Linked DNA regions of Drosophila melanogaster. The protein of the gene in region 2 purifies or fractionates together with the protein of the main gene of each other region. This does not show direct contact. Each region holds a gene or a part of one and is shown on either strand. Other genes may lie near its edges.

Evidence for each region. Proteins that work in one complex are often made in the same cells at the same time.
Region 1: the proteins of Nost (region 2) and Ect3 purify together in Drosophila melanogaster (affinity purification with mass spectrometry, with the first as the bait; one large-scale study listed by BioGRID). This does not show direct contact.

Annotation. Positions count from the first base shown.
Region 1 is NT_033777.3:11,996,866-12,005,032, reverse strand, and holds Ect3 (Ectoderm-expressed 3), read right to left. Parts: upstream 5,756-8,167; 5' UTR 5,594-5,755; intron 3,825-5,593; 5' UTR 3,824-3,824; coding exon 3,603-3,823; intron 3,547-3,602; coding exon 3,332-3,546; intron 3,258-3,331; coding exon 2,840-3,257; intron 2,736-2,839; coding exon 1,676-2,735; 3' UTR 1,517-1,675; downstream 1-1,516.
Region 2 is NC_004354.4:9,027,167-9,033,959, reverse strand, and holds the start of Nost (nostrin), read right to left. Parts: upstream 3,756-6,793; 5' UTR 3,091-3,755; coding exon 3,064-3,090; intron 1-3,063.

The sequences.
Region 1 (8,167 bases), on a different chromosome or scaffold from region 2:
AGCTAAAAAAAACACAACACATTCAAACTTTTATGCTTCGGCATGTTAAGAGTAATGTTTGAGATTTGTTATCAGATTTTATATCCCATTTGATCTCTGGGGTCTGCTTAATATAATCAACAAGTTTTTATGACAGCACATTTGTTCAGTCTGACCATAAAACTTCTTGGGTGGCATTCAGCCAATTTAAAGGAGAGAAAACAAGACGTTTTCACTTAATGCTGACAAATTTCGCACATTAAGACTGCAGTCTATAGAGTTTTTAATGGAATATTAGAAACTAAAAAACACTCGCAATAATGTGTTAATTGGTCTGATTAACTGACAAGATCCTTCTAACGTTTGCGTGATATAAAAAAAAAGTTGACCAAGTTCTTAAGGACTTTCGCAGTCAAGTTCATTTTGTTTTTACATATTTGGGTCCGGCGGAAGCTGAAACATTGTTTATGGAGGATGGCCATCATCAATTGACAGCCAGCGGGCAGAGCTAATAAAAAGCAACATCAATGCAGGGCATCAGATTCCGGGATTGGGATGGCGATGGCACACATCCGGTGGCAGCACGCAACGCCATCCCATTAGGGAAGCACTCTCCCAAAAAGCCACTGGACTGGCTGGGTGGCCACGGGTGACATGAGGCGGCGCTTTAAAACTGCCCCTGGGTCTTAACTTGTTTTATGTCAACTTGGACAACGAGAACAGAGCAATTACAGCATGTGTAGCCAGCAAAAAAAAACACAAATACTTGAGCTGCAGCTGCGCCTAAAAGAAAGATCCTTTAAAACGTAAGCCACTGCATGTGAATGTGTATGTGTGCGAGTCAGGACTAATTAACTGTAGCTGCCTCACTCATTACGGCAACAAGAGATGGTCAAGTAGGGAGTGATTCTCCGGCCCGGGAGCACTCCGTGAAATGTCAACGTAGAGGTACACAGGTACACAATTTGGGTAAATATTTTATTACAGTTCGAGGACAGTTTGGGAGACCTGAAGGGCAATGAAACTATTAGTTCGTTAATTTAGCATAAATATTAATAGGGAAAATAATACAGAATGCGAAAAAATAACCAGCACTATTTAGAACATCTGTGCATAAGAAAGTTTAAAAATCCTAACAACTTGACACGCCTAAGTTTCTATGAACAAAATATATTTTGGGTCAGTTCATTGGAAAACTTCATCCAAAAATATCGCAAAATTCCACGACATGTACACATTTCAAAAACAACAGCGGTAATCTAACATGTTCTTAAAAAACACCGAATGCCAGCGGAAAAGAATGGAGTGGGATTGTCATAGAAAACTTTTGGGAACCTAAAAAATCAACGAACCAAGACGCGACTCATTTTCCGACTCGCCTTTGACTTACTTTGACTCATCATCAGAGCGTTTCTGTGGATTTCAATTTCAATCATTAGGGATTAATTTGGCCCAGGCACAAAGGTCACACATGGCAGGCCTGTAAATCCATCCCCGCATGCCACAACAGCTTTAATGAGTCTTTTACAAAAGGGATAACGAGGCAGACAGGACGCGTCCGTCTCGGAGTTGCTTTAATGTCTTGCAAAGAACTTAAACCGCATAAATTTACATTTAGATCTACATATACGGATGATGATGCATGATTTATGGCTACAGCGATGGATGCAAGTCGCAATGGTCCTTAGGCCGACGACTAAACGGTCCTCGCGTTCAGAATGGGGGTATCTCGGAAGTGCAGCTCCTGTGAGGCGGGTGTCTGCTGATACTCCACCACCACCAGTCGATTTGAGCCCGCCTTGAGCACGGCGGCCGGAACATACAGGGTGACTTGAGGTCCCACCAGGGGCCAATACCTGCCGAGATTTTCGCCATTCACAAAGACAATGCCCTTGCCCCAGCCGGACATGTCCAGATAGGTGTCCGCCAGATCAGATTCCTTTTGGATGTCCAGTTGACCGTGGTAAATGGCGGGACCAGTGCGCAGCATTGTGCGCAACTTCTTTAGCTCCTGGAAGCCCTGACGAACTGCCTCATCCGACTGGGTAATCAGCTGCTCCAGGTTGTCGTACGATTCGAGTGGGAATTGGGTCATGTTCCAGTTGCTCAGCACCTGCTTGTCCAGTCGAACATCCCGCAGGATGCCCTTAAAATCGTTCAACTGTCGACCGTAGTTGATGCGACCCTGGTTCTCTACGATAATCTGGAACCTCCGCCCGGCACTTGCACTGAGTGGCAATTCGAACACGGGGGTTTCCCTGGCCAGAATACCCACGAACTCACCATCCACATAAACGTAACCTCGATCCGCCAGTCCGGGAACGCTAAGGATGCTCGGATCCCGCTGGAAGCTGGGCAACCAGGTCTCGTAGAGCACCAAACCAGAGTACTGTCCCAAAGCCTCGAAGCTCTTCGGCTTGGCGGACTGCACAAATCCAGTGGAGAGACGAGATCGAGCCTCCGACGAAAGCAGACTACAGCAGGTGGTCAGACGCACAGTTCCGTAGGATCGCTTGGGTACGGGTCCGGGCACGGGTTGATTTGGCAGCGGGAGATAGCGGCCAATGATGCGTCGCAGGGCCTGGTATTTGGGAGTGGGATCCCCCGCCTCCGTCATGGGTGCATCGTAGTCGTAGCTGGTAATGTCAGCCATGTAGTTTCCGGGTCCAATGTCATTGGCACCAGCTGTGAATCCGAAGTTGGTGCCGCCGTAGAACATGTAGAAGTTCACACTGGCACCATGATCCAGCATGTTTCTGGAAGCCAAGGCAAGGTTATATATACGATATTATATATAAATATATATTAATTCTTTAAATAACACATAATAATCAATGCCCAAACCAAATTGGAAACTTACATAAAAGTGGAAGTAATCGATTGGGTGCTAACATTGGCCATCGGCTCCGTCCAGTGAGTTAGCCAACCGGGATAGTATTCCGCATTGACCAGCGGACCCTTTGGCTGGTACCTTCTAAACTTGGCCCAAATGGGCTTGAGATCGTTCGTTGCTCCAAAGTCCATGGTCGCTAGGACGCCCTGGATTTTTCCACAGCGCAGCACACTGGGTCCATCGTTGGTGAAGAGCACCGCCTGACCTTTGACATGACTCTCGGTCTCATCGCGTAGCCAATTCCGATAGTTGAGATCGCAGGCATAGAAGGAGCCATATTCGTTCTCCACCTGAACCATTATAATTGGCCCACCATTGCCATACAGATATTTATTCATTTTGGCAAACAGTTGGGTATACCAAATGCGAATTTCGCTAAGATAATCTGCCACATTTTTGGAATTAAGCAGTAAAACATAAGTAATCTTAAAAGTTAACAAAAGGAGTATCAATACTTACTGACATCTGCTGTCCGGAGCTGAATGCCCGGATACTTATTCAGCAGCCAGTAGGGAAAGCCGCCCATGTCACGCTCCGCACAAATATACGGACCCGGACGGAGGATGACCAGCAGATCCTCGCCCACGGCCAGGCGTATAAAGTGTTCCAGATCGGCAATGCCGCTCCACACATAAACGCCATCCCGCGGATTGTGCAATGACCACTCCACATAGCTTGTAGTTAATGGAAACATGACAATCGAACCATTAAAATCATAGTAGTGACTCACGTTGTCACCGCATTCAGACCCGCAGCTCTCATGGTCCTAAGATGCCTTTGCCAGGTGGCTGGATGAGCACGGAAGTAGTGGAAGGAGCCGGCAATGAATCGGAATGGTTCTCCATCCTTTAGGAACTGATCCTTTTCGTAGTCCACCACAAAAGTGCGATTCGCTGAAACAGCTCCTAGCAGCGGTAGTAGGGCCACCAGGACCACCACACTGAACTTCATTCTAAAGGATTGCAGTAGGAAAGATAATATATCAATTAAGATACTGGGAAAAAAATTTCATTATATTTATCATTAAAGCGATATAGATAATAATTCACATCTATTTACTTTGATTACTCTTACACACTAGCTTCGTTAGTACAAAAAAGTAATCATTTTATTCCTGATAAAAAGCGCTGCCAAAGCTATACAGTAATTGTAACTGTAAAAGTAATTGAAAGTAACAAAAAGATACGCAGCAAAATGATTAAATATGATTTATGTACGCCACCATACATAAATGTTTTATGCCATTTAAAGAAAGCGTATTGTGTGCATTCTTTAATAGATTCTCGAATAACTCAACAAATTCCTTTAAGTATTCTGTTTTCTCTGGCCAACGTTTATCTTCCGGATAGTCTGAAGACCCAGTCCGTTCCGCTTCCTAGTGAATCAATCTAAATCAGCCCAGTTGAGTTCATCGCAGTGCAAAGCGTGTCTCGTTTCAGTTGAAATGTTTCAATTGAAGTTCACGGCTCAATTGCTTAGTGACAACAAAACGATAAAATCTTTTGTTTGTTTTGCTTATGAATTGTTTGAAATTAATTCCATTTACTCAAACCGCCCCTGAACTTCTTGGCTGGAGCTCTGTTTGGTCTGCTGTTGCATTCCCTTCGGGTCTCATTAATTAATGCAAGCTCAGCCTAAGTCAATTATTTAATCTGGCTTCTTCGCGCAGAGTAGTGTTTCATATACAATTTGTTTTTTTTTTTTTTTCATTTCCACAGCAGCTGTTCCACAATAATAATGAATTGTTATTTCTGTATTCGGACACTCTGTTATGAATTCATTCTTATCGGCACCATTTGTTTGCTCTTCACTTTCTTCATTTTATGCGATTTGACAAACGAATGCTACGTGTGTTTGTGTTCTATTTTAATTTTTTATTCCCGATGTGGATTATTTTGATTACGCTAAACTATGAAATGTTGTTTCAGCATCATTATGCTTATTAAAAATCATTTTTGTGATTCATTATCCTCTGATGCTTGTCCGTCAACAGTTTATAAATGTTTGCTGCTTGGAAAGTTTTTTATAAATTCATATTACGATTCATTTAGGCATTTTAAAGTGCTATAATTGACTAATTTCGTCAGGAGGTTATTTTATTTAATGTTTGCCCCAATGAACTCAAAATTGCTCTACATCTAATGGATATAACATTTCCATTACTTTAGGAAATCTTCATTGCTTGGCTAAGACAAATACTCAATGTAATTAAGTCATGCCTTATTGACATGAAATAAACATTTTAATTGAATTAAGTTGAATATTAAATATACACAAATGCTTACATCCGACGGTGATTTACACGCTGTGATTCCGTATCTCTTATCACTGAATGGAATGACTCTTAAACCGATAAGGCAAGTGCTCCCCGCTAACCAAATGATCTCTAAATTAACCTGTAATAAATACACCTCCATCAAAAAACTTCCCGTATATGGGTGCCTAAGCTACGAAATTCGAATATATACAGTAGGTACCCAAGGGAAAATCGGAACGAGAACGCAACGTAAATTTTAGGCATCTGACCTAAATAGATTATTTTGCATGCCAGTTACCACCGACTTTACAAAGCTGGATTCCCACTGCGTGTTCCGCTTAACTTTACTGGCAATTAGACGAGAAAGTTGGCGATCGTCGCTTTTTTCTTTCGAAATAAGTCCAGCTTTTGTTTCGAAAAAAAAAGCCATCCAAACGATCTCCAATTATTCATATGACACTTACCTCGCCGATTGCAGCTACACGCAGTGAAAGAAGTGTTTGACTTTTTAGTGTTGATTTAGAGCACAGACGATATAAAAACACAGAATACGATCGCGATGGTTGCAATTACTAGGTGGAAAGTGCGCCAACTGTTCCGCTTGAAATCCAAATTCAAACTGATCGTGCGGTGACCAGAAACCGCGATTAAGTGCAGAACAGAACGAAGACGCGGCTGGCAACATGAGGCCAGCGCAATTGCAGCGCAGCGGCAACATTGTTGAGCAACATTTGTGCTAAACTATGGAACAAAGAAATAACTAAAGAAGTAGAAGCTTATGTATACAATATTTTAATGAATTCATAATGAATCAGAAACAACACAATTAGAGGTGCATTATTGGTCAAAACTGAAGCGTTAGTTTTCTTATTAACCACCACATTATTATTTCTATAGATTTAACCGACTTATAGCCAAAAAATAAGTGTTCTTATGAAACAAACCATTTGTTTAAGCCCTTTTAGACGGGCGTTACATCAAATAATCCTTGACTTTTAACCTACTACTATTGATGCTATCCCTTTTTGCATCCATTGTTTGCTGTTCAATATTCCGTGCCTCTAGAGCATGTCGAAGTCGTTTTCCTAAAAAATTAATGTAAATTTATTTAAAATCCACACGCATGCCGGTGGAAATTCGAAATTGGGCTGCAGCTGCTGGTAGAAAAGAAAAGGAGTCGATTTCAAATTATGGTCACGCCTCATTTTTTATGCATTAAGTGTGTGTATTTGCTTTGGCCTGAACTCTGGCCTCCTTTTCGCATGCAAAATAGGGTGACATGGAAATGCAGCCGCGGGCAATTGGCCGAAAAGTGAGTTTTTCATGTTGTTTTATTATTAATTTCATACATTTCGGCTGGGCCTCTCTGATTCCGTCCGCCTGTTGTTGGTTCACATTGCGTAGTCCTTGCTTACAACTGGGCTAATGGGCCCATATTACCCAACCACGAAAAAAGGCTCACACCCACACACACACACACGCAAACCAAAGGCCGAGCAAACAATGTGTTGGCCAAAATGTAAATCTAGACGTAGGACGACTTGGCACGTCTTTAATCTCGCACGCCTGTCGGCAGTTTAAAGTGTCCTTTGGGATGCACACACACCCCGAGGCACACACACACACACACGCACGTTCTGGGACAGAGAGTGTCCTACATAGACAATTAGACAACAGACACGGCCAAGTTAACAGCTTATCCGCATTAAGGCAGCGGTGGGAGTTGAGTTTTCCTAGTGCTATTCCATTGTCCAACTGCCGCCTGTCAGCCCAATGTCCTGGCTTCCTCATGTCCTGCCAGGACGTGGCTTGACGAGCCGTTACCAGGTAGCTCGAGAACCGGAAGTTCGCCACATTTGCACACTGTTAATTTTGCAGCAGCAAACTTTGCTGGAATTAGTTGGCCGCAGTGCGCACGGTGGGATAAAATGGCAAATTTCGAGGTAAAAGAAAATTCTTGTCAAAAATAATTGTAGTTTAAAAGCGCTTTAATTAAAATGGGAGAATAATACAAACAATAAAATTTAAAAGTAGCAAGTAGTAATGACTTTCACTTTAATAATATCCTGGTTTTTTAAGCAAACTGCTCATGCCCACTGTTCGTTTAAAGTTCAGCCGACATGTTCTGATGCTTTGACATTTGAGAGCCTCTCCTCTAATCCCTAAAACTATATTTTTTATCCTTAAAAAAAAACATCAAACTTTGGGGCCTTTCAGCACTTTGGCTCCATTCCAACTCCAAGCAAACAGAGCCGTCGTAATCATAACAACGATGAGCCCTAAGTGCCTAACCCACCTGTTGATTGTGGCAAACTCGACATCAATTGAATTCAAATGCATTTCGCTAAGTTCAATTGAATTGCCTCTGCACTTTTCTGCTCGATGCTGCAATGTTTGCTTGTTTGCGGTTGTCGCCGCCGGTGGCAATCAATTGAATTACATGTTTGTTGTTTCCTGTGCGCATCGCATCGTTAGAGGTCGCCACAGTTTTTACCATCTATTGCTCCTGTTGCAGCTGCCACTTCGACACCATCCGCCCCCCCCCCCCCAACCTTCTTTCCCCGACGGGCTTAAGCCACCAGGCCAGGGGTTTATTTGCATGGCAATTTCACTTTACAAGGCGTGGCATAATCATGCGTGGCGTCAACTCGTTAGAGATATTCGCGGCATGGGATGTTGCACTTAAAAGTATAGGAATAAAATCTAGTTGTAAGAATGACACGATAAATTTATATTACAATTAAATTAAAATTAACTTAACCAATGGTTTTAATATTAAATATCTCAAAATTCATTGATTTATAAAATAACTGACTGCATCTAATATGTAAAATAAATACATGCATATACATATATCAATAAAAATCCTATAATCATATATCTACACAGCTGTAACCTTAAATCAAATTCATGGGATTTCAATTCCTCAGTGTACTTTGCCCCACTTCGTCCTTTGTGTTTGCATTTTGCATCATGAGTTGCAGCATCAGCCGACGTTGCACTTGCACTCGATTGCATCTCGACTAAAGGCCAGTACT
Region 2 (6,793 bases):
AAACTTATTCTTTTATCTATATGAGCATTTTTAGTCAAGTTGTGATAAAACTTCCTTTAGTAAATAGCGAAATTTTGGAAAAAGTAGTTTTGATGATTTTTCGATTTCGATTTAATTTCCAATTGATTGCCATTCAAAATTGTCAAATTTTTTTGACCACTTTTTCCAACATTTTATATTAAATGCGTTTTTTTTTGTGGTTTTACTATTTACCGGCCTATGCATATGTAAAATGTTGGTTGGAAAAATTGGCCCGAAGGCATAAAAGGCACAGAAAGTACAACAAAAATTTGCAATTGCCGGCAAAAATCGAATCATTGCACTGTAATCCGCTTTGGTATTAGCCAGAAATCGTATTTACAGCACACTTATTCATAATTTGGCTAGCCAGTTTTCGGCTGGCAATCCCACGAAAATCAACGAGGGAAGCCAATCTGCAAATCTTCAATTGAAATCTAATCTGCTGCTGGGGAAATGGAGGGTTTTGCTCATAAAAAAACAAAGACCCGATTGTTCCGCAGCAAATTGGGCAGGCATTAAATTGCATATGATCACGGAGAGCTAAGTAACTTTTCCTCCTTTGAAAATTTCTTTTCTTTTTCTTCCGCAAACCTCATTTGAATGAGGTTTGTGCTCCCCCTTTACTTTTCTCCATGTGTTTTTATTTTTTTTGCGAAACGAGTCTTTGGGGTAATTAAAAGTTCATTGTCGTCGACGGCCTTCCCAACTTGTTGTGGAAATTATTTTGCAATGTCTGCCCAAAAGCGCAGCTTCCATGAATAAAAAAGAAGGAAAAATAAAAGCGAGCCTCCACACGACTTCCCCATCGTTTAGGTCTTTTTTTCTTTGGATCTTTTGCAGAGGCGAGAGATTTTCCCACATGAAAAACGATGACAAAATGTGCAGGAGGCACACATCGTCATCGTCATTTAGCCGGTGAGTGAAAGTTGCTGATGACCAACATGGACATGTGGATGTGGATGTGGATGTGAATATGGTTGTGGTTGTGTATATCGATATGGTTGTGAATCCATGGCCAATGCCTTCACGACAATCTGCCGTAATTGAACTTGAAGCTGCCACCAGGAAGCAGACTTCAGCCGCCAGACTTTGGATGTGCAGGTGCAGCATCCCAAGTCCCAAATCCCAATCCCAATCCCAGTCCGAATCTCAATCTTAGCCAGAAGAAGATGATAATCGTTGGCGCGACGTCAGTCACGACATTTGCGCAATCGACTTGGGCCAGGCCAACTGGTTTTTCTCTTATTTTACTGGATTTTGATTGGTTTTATGATATTTTTTATTTTCATTTTTTTGCTGCCAGACGAGGGAGCGCCTTAGGTGGTGGGTGTCCGCAGACCTTATCACAAAAAAAAAAACTGCCAAAAAAGCTGGCGCATTTTAATGGATCATAATGCGATTACAGTTACGCAGATACGACGATAACGCATTCACATTCATAAACAACAAAAATACAGCGAAGCGAAACAAAGGCTTCTAAAAAAAAAGAATGCGATTCTACGCGAAATTGCTGTGGTGCAAAAGTTCACCATGCCTAAATGTACCAAGTTTTTATATGATTATTTTTTACTACAATACAACCACTATCTTCTTATCAACAAGTTATGGATTTAGATAACTCTTTTCGCTGAGTGCAATCCTAACTGTTTGTTTCACCGGTTTTTTTTTTTTTTTAACTCCAAAAGAAACAAAAGAAAGCTCCGTCGACCTTCAAATCATGCAATTGCTGTAGAAAAAGGGCGCTCGAGGTGTGGAAATGATGTTTGATCTAGATAGCATGTAGAAATTAAGTTGGGAAATTTCTCGGTAAATGTAGGTGTGTGTGTTTTTCTCTTTGACACAAGTAGAGATAAAAAAAATGCAAAGCAATTGCGGCTTAATTCGAAAGTCAGCAAACATATAGAGAAACTAAATCGAAAAAAAAGTATCTTAAGTAGTGAATTCATATCTCTAAATACAAAGTATTGATAATTTACTACTTTACTTAACCACAATTTTGCATATCTTGCAATACCACTTGCCGCAGTAGTTTTTTTTGTTTTTTTTTTTTACCATCTTGGCCAGATATTTCGCAGATAAATCGTTCGAGATAAACGGGTTGCACAGCACTTCGAATAAGTCGATCTATAAATTTCATCCCATGCCTATCAACATTGCCGTTTGACCCGCTTAACCTGCGTGTTTTGCATCGCACTAATTTATTCAAAAACTGTTCGACTTTCGTTCGCCAAAGCGAACGACGCACTCCTATTAAAAAAAAATAAAAAATTAAAATTTAAAAAAACCAACCAATTTGATTAGGTTATTTCGAGTGACCTCGACACCGTTATTCCGCTGATAAAGCCAAGGTAATTCGCTGCATGCGAAGCTTCGGAAGCTGTCAAAATTCTCAGTTCCAAGTCAATTGCCAGTCGGCACAAATGCAAATGCACTCGAAAAAAAACACCCCTAATAATAATGTTTTTTATATCGAAAATGATATTATAATTGCTTGTCTATAAATGTGGAAAGTTCTATATTTTCTGTTCATTAAACTTATAAAGTTATAGTAAGTTAAAACGAATATTTGTAACTTTCTTAAAGTTCAAAAGCAGTTTAAGGTAATAAGCCATCAAAGAACTAGTGAATGTATCTCAAATACTAAACATCAAAATGATTGAAGAAATCGTCAAAATTCCCCTAATTATCAACTTTGATTGCCAGTGCAATTCCACCAATCGATGGATCGGCACTTGGCGAGCTGCGAAATTTAAAAAAATCGGGTCAGGCCGAGAGATGCATGGTGCCAATTGGCCAATCGGTTTACAGATGGCCACACAGGTTAATTAACGATTTGGACCAATTAAGAAGATGTCGAGAGGGGGCGTTGGGCAATGGACAAATGAGGATAGGGAGAGAAATTGTGTTGGATAATTGTGCAATTTGGATTAGTTTTGAGTGCAGGATAGAGTGCGAGTATCACTGTGGATACGTGTGCAGTAGTTAGTCGGTAATTAGTGCCAAATCTCAAGCCAAACCGAACTGAACTCGATCGCAACTCACCCATGAATTATCGCGGAATTGTGACATATTTTGGCCAGCGGCGGGGGTTAGGATGCGGGTAGGATATTATGATGCGGTATTGTGAACTATATGTGTTTTTTTTATTTTTTTCAATTTAAATTTTATAATTGAAGTTTAAAGCATTTACTACTGGTCAGCCCGGCTGATTGTTTGCTTTCAGTTTCAGCTCGTCGCTTTTCCTTCGCGTATTTCGTTTGTGTAACTTTTATTTTACTTTTGTTTTTTTTTTTTTTTTGATTCGCGAATTTCACAGTTTTTGTTTAATTTATCTAACCAATTTGTTAGCACACACACACAACGACACTACGATACACTCACACACACGACGAGTCAGCTGAGCGTAACGCATGTGTTCGAGATACTTTTGTATCTTGTATCTGCGTTTTTTTTTCTTTTTTTTTTGGCTGCTTTCTGAGGCGTAACTGCCAGCACGATTACGTGCGACAATTGTAGCACTCGCCAGCAAAAGGCAGAGATGCACTACTCAAAAACGAAGCACTCCAGTTCAAGGCGAGCAAAGCGTTCGCAGGTAGAAAGAAAAAACAATAAAAAAAAATGTAATAAAAATATAAATAATAGTACACAGGTCGCCGAAGTTTTGGTGGAAAAACCGCGCTGGAAAAGCCGCATGCGCTCTCGTCGCTCTTCTACGAAACGGCGAACTAAACGAGTCGAGTCTGCGCCGCCAACTGAATCTGGCTTTTAGCTTTTGACTCCGACTCCGCGATCCACGCTACAACAAATCCCAATCCCAATGGCAATCGCAATCGCAAACGCCGCTCGCCGCTCTCCGTGAGCGGTGGCAATTGCAATCGCCGGTCGCTGGCGCTTTCTAAACGCTCTCCGCTCAACGCTGAACGCTCTTTGTGGAGCGGCACAGTGGGTACAGTGGGCTGATTTACTGACTTATGTGGCTAAAAAAAAAAACAACAAACCTGCAGGGAAATCTTCCACTCGGTGAATAGAATATGATAAAGAAAAATATGAAATGAAAATGCATAAAGAACATATATTCAACTGATTGAAGTCAGCTGACATTCAGACAATTTTAGATAAAAAGATTTAATTTTTAAAAATTTATTTATTGTTAAAAAAAAGTTGCAGCCAATTGGACAAGCTTTGTGTACGTTTTAAAGCTCGTTTAAGCTTGGCTTACGATGACTTCAAAGTTATGGAATGCAGATGCATAAATTTGCATCTTTCGAACTTACCCTTATGACTTATTTCGATTTCCGTCTAAATGCTGTGATTACAATATTCTAATAACTTATTTAGTTACCTTACAAGCCGTGACTCATCTGAATTTGACTTTACTTGTAGGTGAGAAAGCCCAAAACTATGCCATAAAAGAAAAACGCAATGTTGTTGAGTTTGAAATACCAAAAAAAATTTTTATTTTCCCTTAGGAGAGAGTCAGAAAATTCATATTATAAGCAATTTTGTGGATGATTTCGATCGTTTGTCCAAATATTGTTGGGATTCGCTAGCGTAAAGTGTTATTGATATTTTTTTTTTTTTTACAATTCTTTGAAAGTTGCACTTGGATTTTAAACAGAAACTCGTAGCTGAGCGTTTGGGGTTCGTTTTTTGCGGTTCCGAAAATTACAATTTTGTTTGAGAGCTTAACAGGATAGACTATGGCTTAAAGGATCGATGCGAATGAGTCTATATAACTATTGTACATCTATTTAATATTCGTGGGTGTGTGTGTGTATCTGTGGTTTTCGGGTTTCTAAGTATATAACATACGAATGCTGCATAGCCAATCCAGATGCTAAACGTTCTCGACTTTCCCACACAATTGCCACAAGCGAATACAGTTTTTTTTTTTCGTCGGTATTTCTCATCCGATGTAGCTCGAAAAATTAATATTAAATTTGTAATTATTATCCCAGAAATTGGAGATTCTCTTATTTAATTCTGTTTTTTTTTTTTTGATTTTCCGTTAGGTTTGCTAAATGCTATTTCAATTTCTCTTTTCGTTTGTCTTAAGTAAAATTGAATCAAATTCCTCAGTGCTTGCAGTGCATATCGTACTTAGTAATTCATGTTGTCTATGCTTAGTGACTAATTCAAAAAAAGTAGATATATATATATATATATATATATATATTAAATAGGCATATACATACAGTGATGGGGATGGTTATCAATAGTGTGCTTTTTCTTACATCTATAAATATAGTTTATAGGATCTGTGAGTGTTTGTAATTCGGTATATGTATGTACACTTTACAGTTAAGCAGTTTAGAACTCTTCGATAGAAATACTTTCAGACTTGCGTAAGTTAATAATTAAATGTATGTATGTATATATATATGTATGTATATATAGTGTATATCCAGGTGGAAGGGAGAATCCAAAGTCGTTGTCTGTTCAAAGTTTCGATTTGGGCGAGGATTGAATTAAAACGCGGGGTTTTGCGGGAGTCGATAGAAAATTGCACAGAATTTGTGTATTTACAGGGTTGTCGGTGTAAATAAATAGATTACTTTTACACATTTATGCCGCTTTATTACTTTATCAATATATGTATATATATATGTGTATATAGTATGCTTACTATCGTACAGTTAGGCATTGTTTTTAGGTATATCGTTCCTCCATCCATTTCTGTATCTTGACCTTTACAATTTTGGTTTGCCTTACTTGCTAGGATTTCATAAGACTTGCGTTTCATTTTTCCATATTTTGTTCAAAAGTTGCACTTAAACAATTCGAAAAAAATATATACTATATATGTATGTCTATATATATATATATGTTTTTATATATACTCGCATATATATATAGCATCTATGTTGTTCCTATGTACACATCATGCAGTAAGTGTTTCCATTTAGTGTTATCCTGTTTCTCTGTGTCTATGTGTGTGTGTGGTGTATCCTTGTGTTTTTTAGTGGATATTCTGGATATCCATAGTTTTGGCTTGGACCCGGTTGTTCTCCGAACAGCTGTGACACTTGGCTAGCCATTTTCTGCATTTTAGCCCTCGTCAGTATTAACTTTCTACTAATTCATCATCATCAATTTCTTTCACCATTTAGCATTTAGTCCGTCTAGATCGATAGATAGCACTCTCCTCGGTGACACTTAACTTATTCCGCCTTCCCGCTTAAATCCTTCAACTACAATTTCACTTTGAAGCTTTTTTTTTGTTTCTATATAGCAAATTGCGAAAATTAACCAAATCGTTTTGGTTTTACTTTGAATTTCTTATTGATTATCGGGTTTTCAGAGTTTTGTTTTTTTTTTTATTTCTTTAAGTTTCGGTTCATAGTGAATGGTTTAGGGGGGATAGCAAACGCTTCATCGGCCTTCATGCTCGGCTCATTTGCTATAAAATCTCTAGATTGTCAATTGCTAAATATTCCTTACTCAATTCTGCTCTACTGCATATGGATTTCCAGCTGCGATCGCCATTGGGGCGGGTATTTAAAAGAATATTACAATTTTCAATAAAAAAAAAAAAAATAAAAAGTAAACTTTTTAACATGAATGAAGAAATTAAACAAGATATACAAGCTACAATAAATATGTTCAAAGTAAAATGAGCATTAAGGTTTGTAGTTTCGTATAGATCTTTTTAAAAATTTTGAAAGTTAGTTACAATATAATTTCCTTTTTGTTGACATAAACAATCGCCTGATATTTTGACCGCAGCTGAAGAATTCATTAGTTGCCGCAGTCGGTGTGGATTGGTGTTACG